Linked DNA regions of Mus musculus. The protein of the gene in region 3 interacts with the protein of the main gene of each other region in a pairwise test. Links are inferred from orthologs where the notes say so. Each region holds a gene or a part of one and is shown on either strand. Other genes may lie near its edges.

What was found.
Region 1: the proteins of Rundc3a (region 3) and Rap2a interact in binary tests that used the Homo sapiens proteins (3 or more experiments, as listed by UniProt). The link is inferred for Mus musculus from reciprocal best matches to the Homo sapiens genes RUNDC3A and RAP2A.
Region 2: the proteins of Rundc3a (region 3) and Eif3e interact in binary tests that used the Homo sapiens proteins (3 or more experiments, as listed by UniProt). The two-hybrid records come from large-scale screens. The link is inferred for Mus musculus from reciprocal best matches to the Homo sapiens genes RUNDC3A and EIF3E.

The regions. Positions count from the first base shown.
Region 1 is NC_000080.6:120,477,210-120,481,300, reverse strand, and holds the start of Rap2a (ras-related protein Rap-2a), read right to left. Parts: upstream 2,841-4,091; 5' UTR 2,575-2,840; coding exon 2,261-2,574; intron 1-2,260. UniProt on the Homo sapiens protein: Small GTP-binding protein which cycles between a GDP-bound inactive and a GTP-bound active form. In its active form interacts with and regulates several effectors including MAP4K4, MINK1 and TNIK.
Region 2 is NC_000081.6:43,269,154-43,272,801, forward strand, and holds part of Eif3e (eukaryotic translation initiation factor 3 subunit E), read right to left. Parts: intron 3,166-3,648; coding exon 3,123-3,165; intron 1,831-3,122; coding exon 1,726-1,830; intron 1-1,725. UniProt on the Homo sapiens protein: Component of the eukaryotic translation initiation factor 3 (eIF-3) complex, which is required for several steps in the initiation of protein synthesis.
Region 3 is NC_000077.6:102,399,663-102,403,137, reverse strand, and holds the end of Rundc3a (RUN domain-containing protein 3A), read right to left. Parts: coding exon 3,358-3,475; intron 3,251-3,357; coding exon 3,093-3,250; intron 2,502-3,092; coding exon of another isoform or gene 2,478-2,501; coding exon 2,340-2,477; intron 2,245-2,339; coding exon 2,138-2,244; coding exon of another isoform or gene 2,085-2,137; exon of another isoform or gene 1,750-2,084; coding exon of another isoform or gene 1,730-1,749; exon of another isoform or gene 1,158-1,729; coding exon 1,015-1,157; 3' UTR 583-1,014; downstream 1-582. UniProt on the Homo sapiens protein: May act as an effector of RAP2A in neuronal cells.

The DNA.
Region 1 (4,091 bases), on a different chromosome or scaffold from region 3:
GTAACTAACCGCCCCAAAGCTCTTGTATGTCATATGTAAAGCAGACAGCTGGCACACAATGGGCAGAAGATGGAATTACTGAATACTTCCTATAGCAACTGAGTAGTTAAGGAACTGGTCCCCCAAAGAGTAGAAAATGCACTAATGTAAACCCATGCTTTCTCTTGAGAGGAGTTGCGTGCCCCCACAGCAGGTTTGAGTATTGCCTTATACACTGCTGTACAATGGGAATAACCTACAGCTCACCCGGACCTGGAAGGCAAATGATGAACTTAGGGTGAGGTACAAAAACCAGGACATAGAAGTAGGGGCCCAAGCTGGACACGGACCTTTTAATCTCAGTGCCCCATGGCAGAGGCAGGAGAATCTCTATGGATTTGAGGTCAGCCTGGTATGAATGGTGAGTTCCAGGACAGCCAGGCCAACATAGAGAACCTGTCTCAAAAAAAAAAAAAAAAAAAAAAAAAAAAGAAAAAAAAGAAAAGAAAAGAAAAGAAGAAAAAAAGAAAGTGGGTCCAGAGAGGCTCTAATGACACAACATTTACCCCACAGGAAGTTGCTCAACTCAACTCAGCTCATCACTGCTCTTCTTACATCAAGAGCTGCAACTAGTGACCCTGGGTGAATAGAATCCCAATCTCAGTCTGTTGTCCTGGGTTGAGATGCCAACGGACTGCTCTAGTAAATAAACTGGCCCATCATTATAACTGAGAAACGTGAGCTACACGAAGCCAACAGAAACTCCGACATGATGTGGCCCATGCCATTGGGGATCTTAGCACAGACGTGTGGGCATGCACTGGGTGTGAAGGTGGGACAACTGCAGCACTTACATCATGATCTGTAAACAACTTCGAGACAAACGTATTAACACACCCACACGTGTGTACCACACAAGGAAACACATTTCTAAAAAATAACACTAGAGAAGTTAAGGCTACCAGTGTCACCAACTTTGGGAAAAGATCATAATCATAGCCACTGCTTTGTGATTTGGAATTTAATGCGGGAATACAGAAATTTCTAGTCTGGCTGGAGCAGGCACTGAGGAGAGGGCATTTCCTTTGACCTCTGTACAGGGTTAAAAACCCACCACTAAAAAAAAAAAAAAAAAAAAAAAAAAACACCACTTGGAAGGAATTTTTAAGTACTCCCTGAATACAAATAACTTGCTCTGAGCTCTGAAGTGTATAAACCCCAAATGATGGATAAGTGTGATTGTTTCTACCTAAACCTTCAATGGTGACTTCAAATGTAGCTACAGGTAAAATAATCCTGGAAGACTGTCAGTAGTATTAGTTAATAAGGACCAGAGAGGAGCGTTATCAGTAAAGAAGAACTAGAAAATGATGCCAGAACTCTGTAGTAACATGTTAGACTTTCAGTATTTAAAAGGTTAAGGGGAAAATGCATAGCATCAACTTAAGAGAGAACAAACACTAAAAGCATTCAGGTCACCAGCCACATGCAAAAATACATCCTTTGAACACTTTATATCAGGAAAAAGCTTGTTTGCTTCTTCTTCTTCTTCTTCTTCTTCTTCTTTTTTTTTTTTTTTTTGCATTAACTTTAAATTAGCTGATACACAAGCCAGAACTCAGACTAAACTTCTGTTTGTTTTCCAAGAATAGCCTCCTTCCCTGTTCTTTTTTTTTTCGGGGGGGGGGTGCGGGGGGGGGATGAGGAGGCTAGCTTTTAAGAGAGAAAGAGAACTGAATCTGCACGCTCTCCGCGTAAATGTCACAAGTGTGCTTCTATATGCCAAGCCAACTGAATGTTGTGTGGTCTTCAAATTATTTGCCAATGTGTCTTTAAAGTTTTGCACTAATCCATTTCTGCCAACCTCCTGGCAACATTTAATCTTTTCCGCAACGAGAAAGGTCCCCCCTAACTTAGTATTGACACTGTCACAAGATATGTATGTACAAATTTCGGCTGTCAAACCTCTTACGGGTGCATTTAAGCGCGCGCTCACTCTTCACAGGCGTGCCTACACTAAGACAGCTCCCCTTTCCCTAGCGCCCACCTACTCATCCCTTCTTTCCTTGCAAGTTTGAAACTTTGTTCTTTCTAGGGTCCCGAAGAAGCGCTACCAACGTCCTAGAGACAAAGGGCTGGGCTGAGGGTTAACAGGATGCCCAATTTCACTTGTGAAACAAAGCCCACAAATCTGAGCCCCTGGAGGAGGTGGTGTAGCCCGGGCAAGCCAAGGACCGGGATCGCCGCAGCCACCGAGCCCCGTGTGCCCCGCTCTGCTCACCGCTTCACGCGGATGATCTGGTCCCGCATGGGCTTGATGTCTTGGAAGCTCTGCTGGTTGACCAAGCTGTAGACCAGGATGAAGCCCTGGCCGTTCTTGATGTACAGGTCCCGCATGGACGCGAACTGCTCGGTGCCCGCGGTGTCCAGGATCTCCAGCACCGAAGGCGAGGAGTCCACCTCGATCTCCTTGCGGTAGAAGTCCTCGATGGTGGGGTCGTATTTCTCAATGAAGGTGCCGGTCACGAACTGCACGGTCAGGGCGGATTTGCCTACCCCGCCCGAGCCCAGCACCACCACTTTGTACTCGCGCATCGTCCCTGCGCGGCCGCCGCCGCCGCCGCCGCCCGCGACATAGACCTGCGCCCGCGCGCCGCGCCCCGACCCCGCGGCCCCGCCGCCCTTACGGACTCGTCGGCTCACGGCCGCGGCAGCGCCCCGGGCGCCGGCAGCGGGGCTGCAGCTGAACGAGTCGTGCGCGGCCCTGTGAGCGGGCCAAGCGGGAGGACGATGCAGCCCCGAGGGCGAGAGCAGCAACAGAGCTCGACCTCGAGCCGGAGCCGCCCGAACCGCGGGCCCGCAATGCCGCCCGCCCCGCCCCTCGCGCCTCCACGCCCAGCTCCCGCCGCCGCTGCTGCCGCCGCCGCCGCCGCTTCCCCAGCGCTGGAGCGCGCGCCCGAGCCCAGCCGCAGCGCTGCCCGGGGCGGAGCCAGCCGGGTGGGAGGGGTCTATAAGAAAGCCCGCCCCTCGCGCCGTCGCCTAGCGACCGTCCGCGCGCTCCAGAGAAGACCGGCTTCCGCGACACCCGGCAACACCCAGCCTGACCGGCCTCCGTACTGCGTCTGCGCGCTCTCCTCCGCCCGAAGGCAGGCAACGTCAGACGCCCACGCTCGGGGGTTTGCGGGAGGTGACGGTGGAGGGACCGTGGGCTTAGGAAGCCGTGCGCACCGTGCTTGGGGACCTCAGGACGGGCCGGCCTATGGCTGACATACATGACTCAGCCTGTCAGCCTTCGGAGAGCTTTGGCTTGATCCCGTTATACGTAACGACGTGAGCCTTAAGGGCCGCCGCCATGAGTTACACAAGCAAATCGAAGCTCGGCTAGTCCGTGGCGCCCAGGCTACACGCAAACCCGGTCCGCGCCCGATGACGTCACCGGCCCGCCCTCTAGCCCCGCCCTTGTCGAGTTTGACGTAAGCCGAGCTCCTCCCCCCGGGCTGGTAGACAGCCTTGGGCGCCTGGAAAACCTGGAGCTCGGATCCGCCCCCCACTGTCGGGAGACCCCAGAACATCTCAGCAACAGCCTGCGGGGGTGTCTGCGCGGAAGCTCGGATTCACTGTAGCCAATCAGATTGTGAGTCCGGACTCTAGACTACCACTCTTGACCAATGAAAAGGCGTCTCATCTTGCTAACCAATTGGTGTAAGACCCAGTGATAGACTGAGCCAACTCCCCTCCGGGGCCTGGAGGGGCTGAGAGTTTGCGCTTGCGCACGGCCTGGTACCCAATCGTAGGCCAACTGAGGAGTGACAGAGGGCTGGGCGGAGCCAATCAAACCTGCACTGTGGAGACAGTGCAGGGCTGCTGGGGAACTGGGAGGGGCAGGGTTCGAGCGCCCGACCCCCTGGTGTTCTGGCACCGGAGCGGGTTGCGTTGGCAGACAAGAGGGATGAGTTCTGTTCTAACGTCGCCTCCGTGGCATTCTGCCTGGAGATGGGCATGGAAGTGGTGGCAGAGGATGCGGGCTGGATCGTGGGCTGAATCGAGAAAACTGGGACTTTTGTCTTCAGGGTGAGAAATTTTCCGGTCCCTCAGGAGACATCCATCTGGCA
Region 2 (3,648 bases), on a different chromosome or scaffold from region 3:
GGCTGAACTCCATGTCATTACAGTTGGCTCTTCATAGCAACCTGCTTTCAAGCGTGGATATACTAGAAGAGTTTCAATATCTGGATTTCCAGCAGTTACCTTAAGTTTCCATGTCTTAGGAAAATGGCACGTTCACTCACTGACCAGCAACAATAAATTTACTGTGCTGGGACTCTAACATGACACTAAATCTTCATTCTCAAAATTCACTCCCAGCAGTAACAAATGATATGAATAACCGGCTCTTTTCATGTACCTGTAATCATACCAGGCTTCTGGCTTTACAATCCTAGCTTAAGCTGTTTATATTCTCAAAGTAATCAACTTTTGCTCTCCTAAATCTCTGGTAACATCCAAGGTAAAAGCGATGGAATTTTCTGATAAGTCACTCCAAGTTTAACATCAATGATTACCTTCAGTACACTGGCAAGCAAATCACAGCTTATCCATAAGTGAAAAACTCATTGCAAATGAGGGGAAAAGAAAAATAATGTTTTAAATCTAGCTTAGGAATAAAGAGAAAACATCTGTTTCCTTGAAGGAAGGATGGTGGGTAGTATTAAAAAGTTCCCTGTGCAATTTTAGTGTAGGAGATGAGTAACATCGATCCGCCCTTTGAACTACCCCAAACAGGTAAGCTGGATTTCACTGAAGGCACCAAAAACAACATGGTCCAAGTGGTTTTCTTTGTGACATAGAAAACTAAAGGAAAAAAAGCAACAGAAAATAAAGAAATGTAAGATTGGAAGACAGAAAGTCCCTGTCTTAACCAGACTTTAACTTCTAGGATAAAGTAGACAAACCACTGGCTTTGCGAACTTGTTCATCAATCCAGTGAGTAATAAATTATAACTTCTCAGATAAAAGGCTAGGTAAGAGCCTTTTGATTACTTTAGAAAGTACCTACTACTGTAATTACCTAGAAAGAAGACAGAACAAGAAAAGTTGTTAAGTTGAAGGCCTGAGTTTCAATCAGACTTCATACACCTTTCTCTCCACTCCGTAAAAGTACCAAATCCAGACAGTGACCCAAAAGCCTGCACTGCCAGTTAGTAACACGGCTGGAGTGTCTCCACACCTCACTTCTCCTCACTTTCTATTAATGGGAATGTGGGTAAATATAAATTAGGTCAGTATTAAAATATAGCATCTTAAAACAGGATTCCAGTTGTTCAGAACTAGGAACATGCACTAAACTATAGTCACTCATTCTGCTTACGGCACCACAAAAATCCATTATAAGACAGAATTCTGCTAATACTACAATTCATATAATTATAAATTAATAGCTTCCTATTTTTGGATTTCAAGGTCAAATTAAAGTCTTTCTAAATTTGTTTTTAAGTTGTATTTAAAAACACTTTTGTGCATGGATGCAGGCTGCCGTAGCCTAAGTGCGGAACTCAGAGGACAACTTTGTAGAGTTGGTTCTCTGCACCCTGAAGTGGTTTCTGAGGATCAAACTGGTTGCCAGGTTTGTGCTGTATGAGTATGTGACTCTGTTCCACTTCACAGCCCTCTCAATACATTTTGAGGCCCTTAACAAGGTATCCTATTTGGCTTTTGTTGCAAAGCCACTGCCCCTAGTTTTTTTTAACCTAAATTACTTTTCTCCTTTGCAAATGACTGTTGTAAAATTTAATAGACAGACTCAAATCAAAGTTCTGGAAGTAGAAGGTAAGAGGAAAAGGAAACCAAATAAATAAACAACAAACAGGTACTTACCAAAACTCTAAAGAAGTAAAGATACTCTGCAGCTCCAGAGTAATTTCCACACTCATACTGGAATTTTGCGTATCTGTAGAGTGTATCTAAGTACTCTTGCCTAAACTGGAGGGAAAAAAAACCTTCTACAGTTAAGTTATATAATTCTGTTCATTTAACTCTTCTAGATGAGTGAACAAGTCAATTCTTTTAAAGTCTCCCAACAATTATCACCAATAATACCATAACACTTGATTGTATATATGTATGACTGTGTATGTGCACATACACACACGTGGAACTGTCAATTTAATGCTTAGTTTTGATCTCAAGAGTTCTGAAGTGTGCTGATAGCAATTTGACTACCAAACAAGCTTGGACTGTAACTGAAGTCTGCTCTAAGTCTACTAAGTTGACTAATCTAGTCAACTACCACGCACACATACACCTCCAAGGTTTTTTGTGGTCTTACACAAAGAACACATACAATAAACCTCTCTTTTATGAAAATTAGCCTCAAAATTATATCAACTTTGAGAATTAATATGTAAATAAAATCAAACTGAAGAAATCTAAAAAAAACTTAAGACTTCAAACAACAAACTACTAAATATTATGTAGCAAACCACAGAGTATTATGTGCTGGTCAGCAAGCCATCTACATAATTATTAAGTGGGTGCTAAGACTTAAAAGTTAAGTTTGATTATATACAATGTGAAATTCTCTATGCTAACAAAAGAGAAATCAAAGATGTGTACAAAAAAATAAGTAACATTTACTTATAAATTTGTAAATTAATGAAAGCTATGAAAATGTCAAGGGCTACTGCATTCCCTAAGGTAGCCAAAATGTTCTCTACTGTAAAAAGAAAAAATTTAACTCAATTCTAGTTCGCCTTCACTTATTTAAGTAGACCCACATGGAAAAAAATCGTGAGTTAGAAACATGCATATAACCCTAAAGCCAGAAAGCGGGCAGCAGGAGCACCACAAATTTGGAGACAGTTTGCCCTACAAAGCAATATCCTGTTCTCAAAAATCTCAGAGTCCTGGAGGCTCAGGAAGAGGGAGGAAAAAAAAAAAAGAGAGAGGGAACCCCCCTCCCCCACCTTCTCTAGGTTTTGGTCTTCTGTTGCCGCTAACATGAGCTACTGTTATATGATTCACAAACTGACAAGCACTGTGGGGATTTACTATCAAAAGAGGATTATGAGATATCACGGCTGAGGTTTAAAAAAAAAAAAACAAAAAAACTACATTTAAAACCATACCAGTTGTATTTAGTTAAGTTAATCTAAGAATTATATTCTTATGCCAAACTATTTATGCACAGCATTAGTCTCTAATGAACTTTTCAGAACATAACCATTTTTTAATGTTTAAAAACAACAACAACAACAACAACAAAAACAACTTACCCCATGTTTGTCTGCCAGGTAGTCAAATAACATCCTGCCATCCCTTAATATTGGAAAAGTGAGTGTTATTATGCTTTATTCACTGAAGAACACAAAATGTGCAGCTCTATCTTCTAAGTTATCATCCTAAGTCACTTTAAATCTCTTAATACTTAAGCAGAAATATAACTTGTAGAATAAAACAAATAGCACATGTCAAATTTTGATATAAGGTTACTACAAACTTGAATTTTCTTTCACATTTCCTAAGCTCTGACTTAAGACCAAATTTAGAAGATGCCCGTCACAAAGTTTACAAAGTGCACGCAATTACTAACCCTATCAAGCTACCAAATAGCCCAACTTAACTTTCCTAAGTTAGTTTTGCATTAACTCAAGATCCTAATGAACTCGTAAGAGACAAGTACAGCAGGAACACTGAGGGGAAGGCAAGATGCTGATTTTCACGTTCTCAAAAGGGAAAGGGCCTTCTTAGGCTTCTTCATGTGGGAATATGCAGTGCCCTGAGGCATGCTTTGGAAGCATA
Region 3 (3,475 bases):
TGGCTGTAGTGTCTTGGGGTACGTGTGCACGTTTGGGGGTCCCCAGTCAGACACAGTGGCCCACACCTGTTATTCCTTCACTTGGGAGGCTGAGGCAGGAGGAGTGCCTCCAATACCAAGCCAGCCAGGACTACACAGCCAAATTCTATCTTCACAAAAAAAAAAAAAACCAACAGCAACAAAAAGCTGGCATCTACAGGTATGGTGGCCCCGAGAGTTCATGGCGAGCAGATCTGAAGCCTGCCTGGCCTACATACTGAGCTCCAGGCCATCCAGAGACCTTGTCTTAAAAGCTTCCCACCTTAGGGGGTACCCAGACAGATCTGGGTGAAAGGTGCCTGTCTGGTAGGTAGTAAGGGCCTTTCATGTGGGGCCCACTGTGTTGGGGTGAGAGCAAGTCTTAGAAGGGTCAGATCCAGAAAGCACCTGCAGATGTACAGAATCCGGAGCCCCCTCCCACTCAGCCCACACCCTGAATGATGGCCCCATGTGGTCCCCCAGGGCACATCCTCCTGGCATGTGTACCTTGGTTAACAGACCTGTTAGGGAGCCCTTACCCCACTCTCCAACAGATGAAACCACTTCAGTCCTCTGGTTTTTATTTGCCTAATCTCTCCCCACATAGGTACCAAGGAAGGGTGACTTCAGAGGGTACACAGGGTTAGACCAGAGGCAGGGCAGCAGGAATGCCAGGGCTGGACCACCTGCTCCTGAGGCAGGTGTGGAAGAAATCAGAAGGAACCAGGCAGCCTTCAGAGCCACCAGAATGGAGCGCTGTCCCCAGGGGACTGAGGATCTGTAATCTGGGTGTCCCTCGTGGCCCCACCACTTCCCATGCAGCTCCTGCCTCCTTGGCAGGAAGCTGAAGCAGGAAAGAGGCTTGGGTCATCTTTCCCTAGAGACCCGAGGCTAGGTTGGTGGTGTTCTTGAAGGGTGGCCTGGGTTGGGGGACTCATAAGGTGGCAGTTGTCCATGGCCCCTGGCAGGTGGGGCTGGTGTTGCCCTTGGTGCTCCTCAGCTGGGGCTGAGCGCCGGGCTGCCCTCAGGGCTGTCGCTCACCAGGCATTCGTTGGATTTGAAGCTTGCCAGGGACTTGCAGCTGGGGATGGAGGCCAGGGAGCCGCAGAGGCCCAGCATGGAGGGCGTGGGGTCCTTCCCTAGGGAGAGAGGGCGGGTAAGGCCGGGCCAACCAGCCTGTGTTGTATGTGGGGAGGAGGTCCTCGTGGGTGGGCAGAAGGGGGGCAGTTCTCCAGTCACCCCCAGGGGACGTGGCCTCTTCTGGAGCATCTGTCATTTTTAATTAAACCTTGATTGAACATTCCTTGCACAGGGCTTGAGACACTGTGTCATAAACCATCAGTTTATGTCTCTGTCTCCCCAAGGTTCAGCCTTTCTTTGTCCATTTATTAAGCACACAGTGAGCATTTGCTCTATTTCACACTCTGGGGATACAGAGAATGGACAAGACATGGTCCCTGCCCTCACGGAGCTCACAGTCTGGTGGGGAGACACACACAGTCACAAACACAGTGTGGTGAGTTACATGTCCAAAGCCTGCCTCGTCTCAAAGTCGAGTTATCCAATACAATATAATATATATCTATGTATTTAAAAAAAAAAAAGGCAGGAGGTCCAGGCATAGGGGAAGAAACTAGGAAGGGAGTAACCAAGGAGGGGTCAACACAAAATGCATGCGTTGAAGTCCTGGGCATTCGCTCAGAGGGAGCCACTAATTTGGTTCTGAGCTTCCTGGCAGCCAAAGAAAGGGGAAAACATTGGTCAGGCAAGCCGTTCACAGTGTGTGTGTGGGCAGAGCCAGCAACATGTGTCTAGTGTCATGACACTAGAAAGCCGTTGCGCCCTCTCCATACGTGCACTCTGGAGGCTCTTTACCAACATCCCTATTTTACAGATGGGAATCTGAGTCAGCCAAGTGCAGAGATTGACCTCGTTTACAGGTAGAAGAGGTGGGGCCCGAATTTGCACTTTTGTTTTGAAACCTCAAGCCAAGCTCCTTATTGGTGTATAAGTACAGGAAGAGTTGAGAGAATAAGGGGTTCAGCCACGGCCTGACTACAGGGGCCCTATCCCTTTTCTGAAGTGCCAAGGTGGGTGAGTGTGTGTGGGGTGTGCTCACCGATGGGGCCCCAGGGTTCCTCGTCCCTCTTGGCCTCTCCCAGGCGCTGGGAGTCTGAGCTCAGGCTGGCCTCTGCAGACAGCGGCTCCGTGCTCATGAAGCTGTGTCTACAGCAGAACAGAAAAGTGCAGGGAGTGACCCGCAGCTCCAGGCCCCACTTCCTGGGACTGGGGTATGGGGACAGCACTTGGTTGAGGCTTACCTCCGATATAGCTTGGAGTTGCTGGCACCCTCGGGCCTATGAAGTGTGCTCAGGGAGGGCCACTGGTTGACTAGGGATGTGGTGAGCTCCTTGGAACCCTGGGCCAGGGGGGCATGGTCACCGGGGATCAGACCTGTCCTGGGAGGGGGAGGGGGATCAGGCCTGGCTGGGAGAGGGAAGCGAGACTCAGCAAAGGTAGGGGCAGGGCTTAGGACGGAAACTTGAGTGGTAAAAATGGGGATCTGTGCTGCTCAGGGAGGATGGCCCAAGTCTGGAATTATGGCACTAGGATCTAAGGCCATGTTTGTGGTGGCCAGGATTAGTGCACTCATGATGGAGTTTTTAGAAGTCAGTTGGGGTGATGTAGGGAGGAGAATGGAAAGGGTGGGTACTCTTGAAGGGGTGGGATTCGTGTTAGCTAGCTGGGTCAGGTTCAGGGAGGAAATGTTCCAGATTGGGGGTGGGGGTGTGTGTGTGATGCCTATCAGAGGCCTTAATAATGGGGGTGGCACACGATAAAACTGAAGGCTGCTAAAGTCGTGTGAGGAATGGCTGGTGTCTCTAGCTGATGGGTATTGGAAGCTGCGGGGGATCTTAATGTGGGGGGCAGGTAATGTTTGGCAACCTCCACGGGATCTTGGGAAAGGGGATGGGATGGGTAGGCTGATGCGAATTGGGTGTCATCAGAAAAGCGATCCCAGCCAATGGAGTCATGTTGGGGTTCCCAGGGGTCAGGGCGGGAGGCGGGCTCACAGCTGCTCCTGCAGCTCCAGGATCACGCCTTCCAGCTCCCGCTTCTCACGCTGATTTTGTGCCGCGGCCTCCTCCAGCTGCAGCTGCAGCCGCCGGTTCTCCGCCTCCAAGTCCTTCAGCTGCGACTCGCGCAGCCGCACCAGCTCCTCCAGGTATCCCTGCGGGGCGCCGGCTCAGCCCGGACGCCCAAAGGGGTCCCAGCTGGAGTCCCAGCCCCAGGCCCTGCCCCCACCGCGCCCAGCTCCCCGCGCCTCGCCCCGCGCACCTTCTGTGCGTAGACAATGCGAAACTTCTGTTCCATCTTGTGCCACTTGTTGTACCAACTGTCTTCATCGGTGACGAGAGGCAGGTAGGGGTGCTCTGGTGAGTTGTCCTCGCTGGTG